Macaca fascicularis: one gene and its partner. The protein of the gene in region 1 interacts with the protein of each later gene in a pairwise test. Links are inferred from orthologs where the notes say so. Each region holds a gene or a part of one and is shown in the gene's direction. Other genes may lie near its edges.

What was found. The genes of interacting proteins can lie anywhere in the genome.
Region 2: the proteins of EEA1 (region 1) and RAB5B interact in binary tests that used the Homo sapiens proteins (3 or more experiments, as listed by UniProt). The link is inferred for Macaca fascicularis from reciprocal best matches to the Homo sapiens genes EEA1 and RAB5B.

Annotation. Positions count from the first base shown.
Region 1 is NC_088385.1:99,818,854-99,822,503, reverse strand, and holds part of EEA1 (early endosome antigen 1), read left to right. Parts: intron 1-1,394; coding exon 1,395-1,725; intron 1,726-2,427; coding exon 2,428-2,529; intron 2,530-3,650. UniProt on the Homo sapiens protein: Binds phospholipid vesicles containing phosphatidylinositol 3-phosphate and participates in endosomal trafficking.
Region 2 is NC_088385.1:62,753,735-62,757,831, forward strand, and holds the start of RAB5B (ras-related protein Rab-5B), read left to right. Parts: upstream 1-1,293; 5' UTR 1,294-1,359; exon of another isoform or gene 1,360-1,439; intron 1,440-4,097. UniProt on the Homo sapiens protein: The small GTPases Rab are key regulators of intracellular membrane trafficking, from the formation of transport vesicles to their fusion with membranes.

The DNA of each region.
Region 1 (3,650 bases):
ACAATTACGGTGCTGTTCTTATTGTCTATATTCTTGCCAATTTGTTCCTCTGGTTGTTCTATCAGTTTCTAAGAAAGAGATATTATAATTTCCAACTATGATTGTGGACTCATGTATTTCTTCTTTGAGTTACTTAAAAAAAACAAACAAGAAGTTTCACAGTGACTATGTAAGCCTCTATTTCTGTTTTGCCTTCTTTGTTTCACATAATCTTATGATTTTGTAATTAATTTTGAAAAAGTTAAGCAGCATATAAATAAATATACTGAGTCTTAATTTTAGGGTTGCTTGACAGGGATTTTAACTACATTAAAATGGTAAAATAATATTAGTGTAATGACTTTTCCATTTGGATCATTAAAAATCAGGGAGGCATAGTATCTTGTGAACCTATTAAGCTTTAACATCTTTTCTAGCTATTTTTAAGGAGGTAAAAGTGTGTTTCTAGAACTAAAAAATCAGATTTTGAGGTATAAATACAGTTTTGATTTTGTATTAATACACAATTTCAAATACTTTATTAGTACATCTTTTAACAACCTCCCTTTAACATATTGTTGAATTATTTTTATTGGTTTTAAATTTATTCTGATTACATTGGAACTAGTGTGCATTCTAGAAATGCTGTTACTTAGCATCTGGTTTTGACTTTAAAAATGGCTGTTATTTATACTGTATCGGGGGTTTTGCTGTATAATTTGCATAGTTTCTTTTATGAAAACAATAAAAGTCTATAGCTTTCTAAAGCTATAACTTTATTTCTTCATTCTTGTTGCTTTTTTCATTTGTGTATAAGAGACCTATATTAAGGAACAAATGATAACAAATCCTTTGTATAATCTGCTAGGTTCTAGGGTTAAAGTAAATCATTTGTCTTCCCTCTATATTGTAAATAAAATATTTCTTTTATTTTTTTACTTTTATTTTTTTCTAGGTTAACCATAAATATTTTGAAGTTTAAGAACTGTCACACATAATGTGTTTCATGTTTTCAAGGAAAGAGACAAAGTTCTCTCTGTTGAGAACTAACATAATAAATAGATTCTTTATGGAAAAACGTTTCTGGCTGTTATAGACTAAAGGGTCTGTGATACATAGTTTTTTTCCCTGGGAATTAGTTGTAGTGGACAAAAATGCATTAAGTCAGGAAGCTTAGATAGTTTTGTCTTCACTACTAACTTATATGACTTGGGAAAAATAATCTACATCTGTTAAATGAGCAAATGAGATGTTCTAAAGTATTTTTCAGTGGTATGATTTTATGAAATTAGATTTTACTTGTGAACTATACGAAAAAAGTTTCAGAACTCAGTAATTGTTTATCATTAATTTTGAATGGTAAATTAGAAATAGTAAATTATGTGTTATTTAAAAAGTTTTTAAAAAATATTTAGAGTATCCAGTACAAGATTGGATCTACAGAAAAAATCTCAAGCCCTTGAAATTATCAAGCCAAAGCTTACCAAGCAAGAGGAAGAAAAAAAAGTCCTGAAACAGGAATTTGAAACTTTAAGTCAAGAAGCAAAGATTCAGCACGAGGAATTGAATAACAGAATTCAAACAACAGTAACAGAACTACAAAAAGTGAAAATGGAGAAAGAAGCTTTAATGACAGAGCTTTCTACAGTAAAGGAGAAACTGTCAAAAGTTTCTGATTCTTTGAAACACTCCAAAAGTGAATTTGAAAAGGAGAATCAGAAAGGAAAAGCCGCTATATTAGACTTGGTTAGTAGTTTACATTTACTTTCTTAAGTAGAAGTGATTATTTTATTTAAAATGTACTTATTTTTCTGCTTAATTCACAGTTTGCTTCTCTTTCCACATTTAAATAATTTAAAGCAGTTCTTATGAGGAAATAAATTGGGATTGCTTAACCTGAGAAGAAGCCCAAGATAATAATGTGGGTGTGTATGCACCTGTGAGCACACCATTTTCTGAAGGCCAAGAATATTTTCAGTTGAATATCACAGTCTTTCTCATGTGTGTTATGTTCCTTCCTGTTTGGTGAAAACATTTTCTATCTGTACACTTTTCCTATTGTGATCACTTTTTAATTTATTGTTTTCTAAGTTTTCTTGCTTCCATTTTCTTGAAGCCCATTGCTGTAAAAGTAGTGTGGCAAGTTAATTACAATGAATTGTGTGACATAAAATGTGATTTCTAAAGTGTTCTAAGATATCATCTTAATATTGTTTAAAATATGTCATTGTGACTTGGTTGATGATCAAAACCCTTAGTGTTTTGTTGTCCCTCCTCCATTATTTCTGTAATATTTTCCTAGTTTTATCATTGAAATGGATGATCCTGTCTCAGCTCATCGATAATTTTAGTTTATTTCCTCGTGTGTTTCTTACTAAGGTTATAAACTAAACTTCTTAAGGTTATTACAAATATTTTTTATGTAATATAGTTTTCATTTTTTTTAAGGAGAAAACTTGCAAAGAATTAAAGCATCAACTTCAAGTGCAGATGGACGACACACTTAGGGAACAGAAGGAACTGAAAAAGTCACTTGAAAAAGAGAAGGAGGTAAGATTTTCTTTTTTCTGTAACATAAATGTATAATATTTTCAAATAAATATATAAAGTATGTTTGTTCTTGGCAGCATTTCCACAGATAATTTTTTTTATAGTTTTAAGAAAATTAAACATTTTCACATTGATATTTAGGTCATAGGTTTATTTCTCTGAAATATAACAAATCATGTATATAGTTTAAAACTGTTATTTGTATTTTACCTACTATTAAAAAGACTTAAGCTAGTTTATAATCAAAGGTCCAAATAAAGAAATATAATTAATAAAGGTAGAAAATTGAGTCAGCTAACTACAGAGTTAAGGACCATTTTTATGGTTGAAAAAAAAATCTTCAAAGGCTTTCCATAGAAATGACCTTTATTTCATGGACTCTTATGGCTCTTTAATTCATGGACATTTATACTCATACTAATGTATACTTGATAATGGTTGTAGAACAACCAAAATGTTTTTCTGTAGTTAGCGCTTCTGTTGTTTCCAGCAAAAACAGACAAGCAAACGAGTAAACAAACGGATATAATATATGGTTGTTACTCTCTGAAGCCATACCTGCGAGCTGCTAGAGTCCAGGCATGCAACTTTCTAGAAAATCGGATTTGATAAAGGAGCAAGACATAGTACTGACAAGTATTTGATGTGATTGTATTCTAGTTGTTGATTGAAAGCAGACTTGTGTTGTAGATGCCAGCCATGTAAGTAGCAAAATTATAATTGCTTCATGCCCAAGTTCTGAATCAAGATTGTCCAAATAATTGCTTCATGCCCAAGTTCTGAATCAAGATTGTACAAATTTATATTCTGGCTATGCCATTTATTAGCTATGCCATTTTGCCATCTTTTAGACCAAATACTTAATCTCTGTGCTCTGGTTTCTATATGATAGAGTCTACATGAATCTGTGTGATAGAGTTATTATGAGAAATAAATGTGTTAATATCTTTAAAGTACTCAGGACACTGACTATAATGCAGTAAATGCTCATACTAGTTATTATTTTGTCCTTGGTTATCATATCATATCATCCTTATTGTCATACTGTTTGACTCCTGTTTTGCATAAAAATATTTGCTATTCATTGTGGAGATAAGCTGAGAGGTCTATGTATAACAGTA
Region 2 (4,097 bases), about 37 Mb from region 1:
GCATTTTTTTTTGTTTATGATTTGTTTCTGTCACCCTTGTCCTTGAGTGCTCTTGCTATTAACGTTATTTGTAATTTAGTTTGTAGTTCATTAAAAAAATGTGCCTAGTTTTATAGTTCATCTCTTTCCTATTTACTGAAAGAATGGTGAGAAACAGAATATGAATATGTATATGTGATCATTGATTTCGGACCCCTTTTCCTAATCTCTCTGTGCATGGCCACCCACCCCACCCCATTTTGGCTAGTGCTGACAGTGAACAAAGTGGTTATTATCGTTCCTATTTATGGCTGGGGAAACTGAAGTCTATATACTTCCTACTTTCTCCACACACCAGCAAACTTCCTTTCCCCCAGCCAACATACCACACACACACAACACACCACATACACACCATATATGCACACACACACACCCCCATGCACATACATAGCGGCAGGAAAAGGGCTCCCGGGGAATTTGCCTCTCGACACTGCATTTCCCAGTAAGCCCGCCCTTTTTCCTTTCTGTTTCATATCACAAACAGCAAAGTTTTCCAAAGATTATTTTATTTACATTTACATACGATTCTGAAAAAGCGTCTCCAAGCTACCACTTCTTGTAGTTGCCATTGTCTCACTCCAACAAAAAACATCTCAGACCGCCCGCCGGCCACCCCAAATACTCCTGTCCCCTGAAGCCTCACTAAAGGGAGGAAGCGCTGATGTCAGGGTTACTTAAATTCCCAGGCTCCGGATCCCTAGAAGAGGTATTTCCCTTTACGCCCGCGAATTTGTCATAGAAGGCGGGGCACTAGAGCCAGCCCCGGCCAAGTCCAGGGGGAGGGGCGAAGGTCAATAGAGGCCTTCCTAAGGCTCCTGTCAACCCCTCGCCTGCCAGTCAAGTCCCGTATTTTCGTAGTACTGGTTAAAGTTTCACTTTGACCCGCCTCCTTCACTCACCTGATTAGATGTTTATGAGTCAAAAGGCGGGGTCATGGGGTGTCGAGATTTTATTGGTGGATACATACGCCTGTCGGCACTGTACCGCCCCCTGTCTTCAGGAGCTTGCTCTTTAATGGCTCCTTACCTCGTCCATCTTCGAGGTTTCTCCCTTGCTATTGGTTTGTGGCCCCGCCTGTCGAGTCCCTTGCTCGTACTTGTTGGTGACAGCGCCCAAAGAGACCCGCCTTTCTCCAGAGGATTGGTGGATGAGTGCACATATAGCCCACCCCCCGATGGTAGGCGGGTAATCGAGCTATTGGCTGGAACCCCCGCCCCAGGGCGAGGAGGAGAAGGAGGGGCAGGAGGGTTTGGTTGAGCTGCAGCTGTTTGTCTGTTCGACACAGGCTTGGGGCCGACGGGGGAGACGGAGCCCCAGGTACCGAGCTGATGGACCCCAAAGGGCAGGGGCGGAAGCGCCCAGGAGATGAGAGCAACCTGGCCTGAGAGCGGAGGCGGGTGTGGTCCTAAGCGAGGGGTTAGAGTGGCCCACCGGAGAGGGGAGCAGGGGGCCGGGCTCCGGCAGGCCTAATGGGGGCGCTGAGGAGGGGACTGGGCGGGCTGGGACCCCGAAGTTGGTGAGTCGGGAAGGCGGCTGGCTGTGGCGGCGGCCAGGCCGAGGGCCGGGCGCTGGAGGCTCGGTGCTTGAGTGAGGGGAGGGGCAGGCCTCATTAAGCAGCGCTGAAGAGGGAGGAGCTGGGGAAAGGGACAGGGCAGCGGGTGAGGTAAGCCCATTTGCTGGGAGGTGAGGAGGGGTCAGACCTGTCGCCCGAGCCCCGGGGGTGACTTGAGCTGGGTCTCTCCAGAGAGGTTCATTGGAAGGGCCTGAGAAGGGTTCTTAGTTGGAAAGAAGCGTTCTTTTCAGGGAAAGTGCCTATTGTAAAAAGAACTGAGGGTGCTATGGTGTTGAGCTGAGAGAGATTTGGGTTCAGTGAGGGAGAACTGGGGAAAATGAAGAAGGCTGTATTAATCTAGAAGACTAAGGTAGTTGAAGTAATGGAAGCAGGGCCTGAATCAGTTATGGGAGCTTCTGGGAATGCTGAAGGGTGGGCTGGAGGCTCTGGGTCTTGGGAGTACACACTCTTTTGTTCCCTTTAGTATTTAGATGTGGTAATTTGAAGCTTTTTAAAACTCCCAGGGTAGGGATGAAGATCAAAGTAATTTTTTTTTTTTCCATGACTGTTGGCTGCTCCAAACTCAGCCCCTACACTTTCTCTTGGCTTCATAACTGGTCTATATTGCGGTCTGTTTCTTAACTTACTGTTTCCTGTCCTATGAAAGAGCCAAGAGTTGGATTGGGGGCATGTTTTGTCCACTTCTTTCCCACTTAATAATGTGGTCTATAGTGAATACCGTGTCTCCTAGAACTGAGAATCTATTTCATTATCTACATGGGAAAAGGGCTTAGAGATCCTCAGCCATCAGGAAATCTTCTGATTATAGTTGGTGAAACTTTTGTGGGACTTAGACTTGACTTGGGTATTTCCCAGGCAGGTAATGGAGTTAACAGGTCCGAAACTATGAGGTGATATCACTGAGGAAGAGATTTGGGGAAGAGTGAGAAATTCCATTTCAAAAGCTTGGCATCACCCCTTGTTCTTTGTCTACTTCAAAAGCCCAGATTTCTGTGCTGTTAAAAAGTTGGGTAAACTATGAAGTATCTGGGGAAGATGGTGAGTAGAGAAAAAGATACAGAGGTGCAGTAGCCCACGTCTGTAATCCCAGCACTTTGGGAGGCTGAGACAGGAGGATCACTTGAGCCCAGGAGTTCGAGGGTACAGTGAGCCACGATCTTGCCACTGCACTCCAGCCTAGGCGACAGAATGAGACCCTGTCTCCAAAAACAAAAAAAAAAAAGAAGAGTGGAGTACCCTCCTCCCTGCATACTTTTAATGGTCTGCTAGCCTTCTTAGTCCCTCATAGATTGGAGCCTATTGGATTTTCCCTTACTGTGCTTCCTCCTTTTCCCCTTCTCTACCAATATATTTTATCACTACATTTCTTTTTTTTTGAGACGGAGTCTTACTCTCTCGCCAGGCTTGAGTGCAGTGGTGCAATCTCGGCTCACTGCAACCTCCACCTCCCAGGTTCAAGAGATTCTCCTGCCTCAGCCTCCCAAGTAGCTGGGACTACAGGCGCGCACCACCACGCCCAGCTCATTTTTGTATTTTTAGTAGAGACGGGGTTTTACCATGTTGGCCAGGATGATCTCAATCTCTTGACCTCATGATCTGCCCGCCTCGGTCTCCCAGAGTGCTGGGATTACAGGCATGAGCCACTGCACCCGGCCATCACTACATTTCTTAATTACAAAAATAATATGTTCATATTTTAAAATATGGAAGCTGTTCAGCAGTTTAAGAAGTATAAATCCTCCCGTACATACCTTACTCATATTTCATTTAGGAAGGTCAAGGATCAGAGACAGCAAATCAGACTTATCTTGCTTTGCTTTGGGGGATGTGCCACAAAAGGCAGTTCTGTTTTCATGTTCTCACCAAACTCTAGTCTTATTCTTTCTACAGTTTTCCCTTCTGGGATGATACTCTGTTATTTATTGCGTTCCTTTCACAGTTCATTTTGTCTTCTACCAAGTCCAACAAGCAGAGGGCTGTACTGTGTGTTATTCACCTTCAGTACACACACACACACACACACACACACACACACCCCAAGTTATGTGCTGGGTGTCCTAGGAAATGCCCAAAGAGATGGAACAAAACTTTATGGGGAGAAAGGATCATTTTGTTTGGGACAATTGTTGTCATCTCTGCTAAAGAAAGGAATTTCAGAGCCTTATCTCAAATTCATGGTCTCTGGATGTTCATGGTCTCTGCATGTTCACATTACTTGACTATCTCTTTCTTATCCATGATGATGATGGTTCTCCTAAGAGCCCCCTGTATTTGTCTTTCTTTTCTTTTCTTCTATTTTTAGAGACAGAGTCTTGCTCTGTCGCTCAGGCTGGAGTACAGTGTGTGTCTTTCTGTGGGGATCCAAGAAGCTCCAAGCTTATCTGGATTTGAAATCGGTTTTCCTCTAAATCTCAAGAGTCAGAGTACAGCTGGGGCATTTCATATTACCATCTTTTTTTTTTTTTTTTTTTGAGACGAGTCT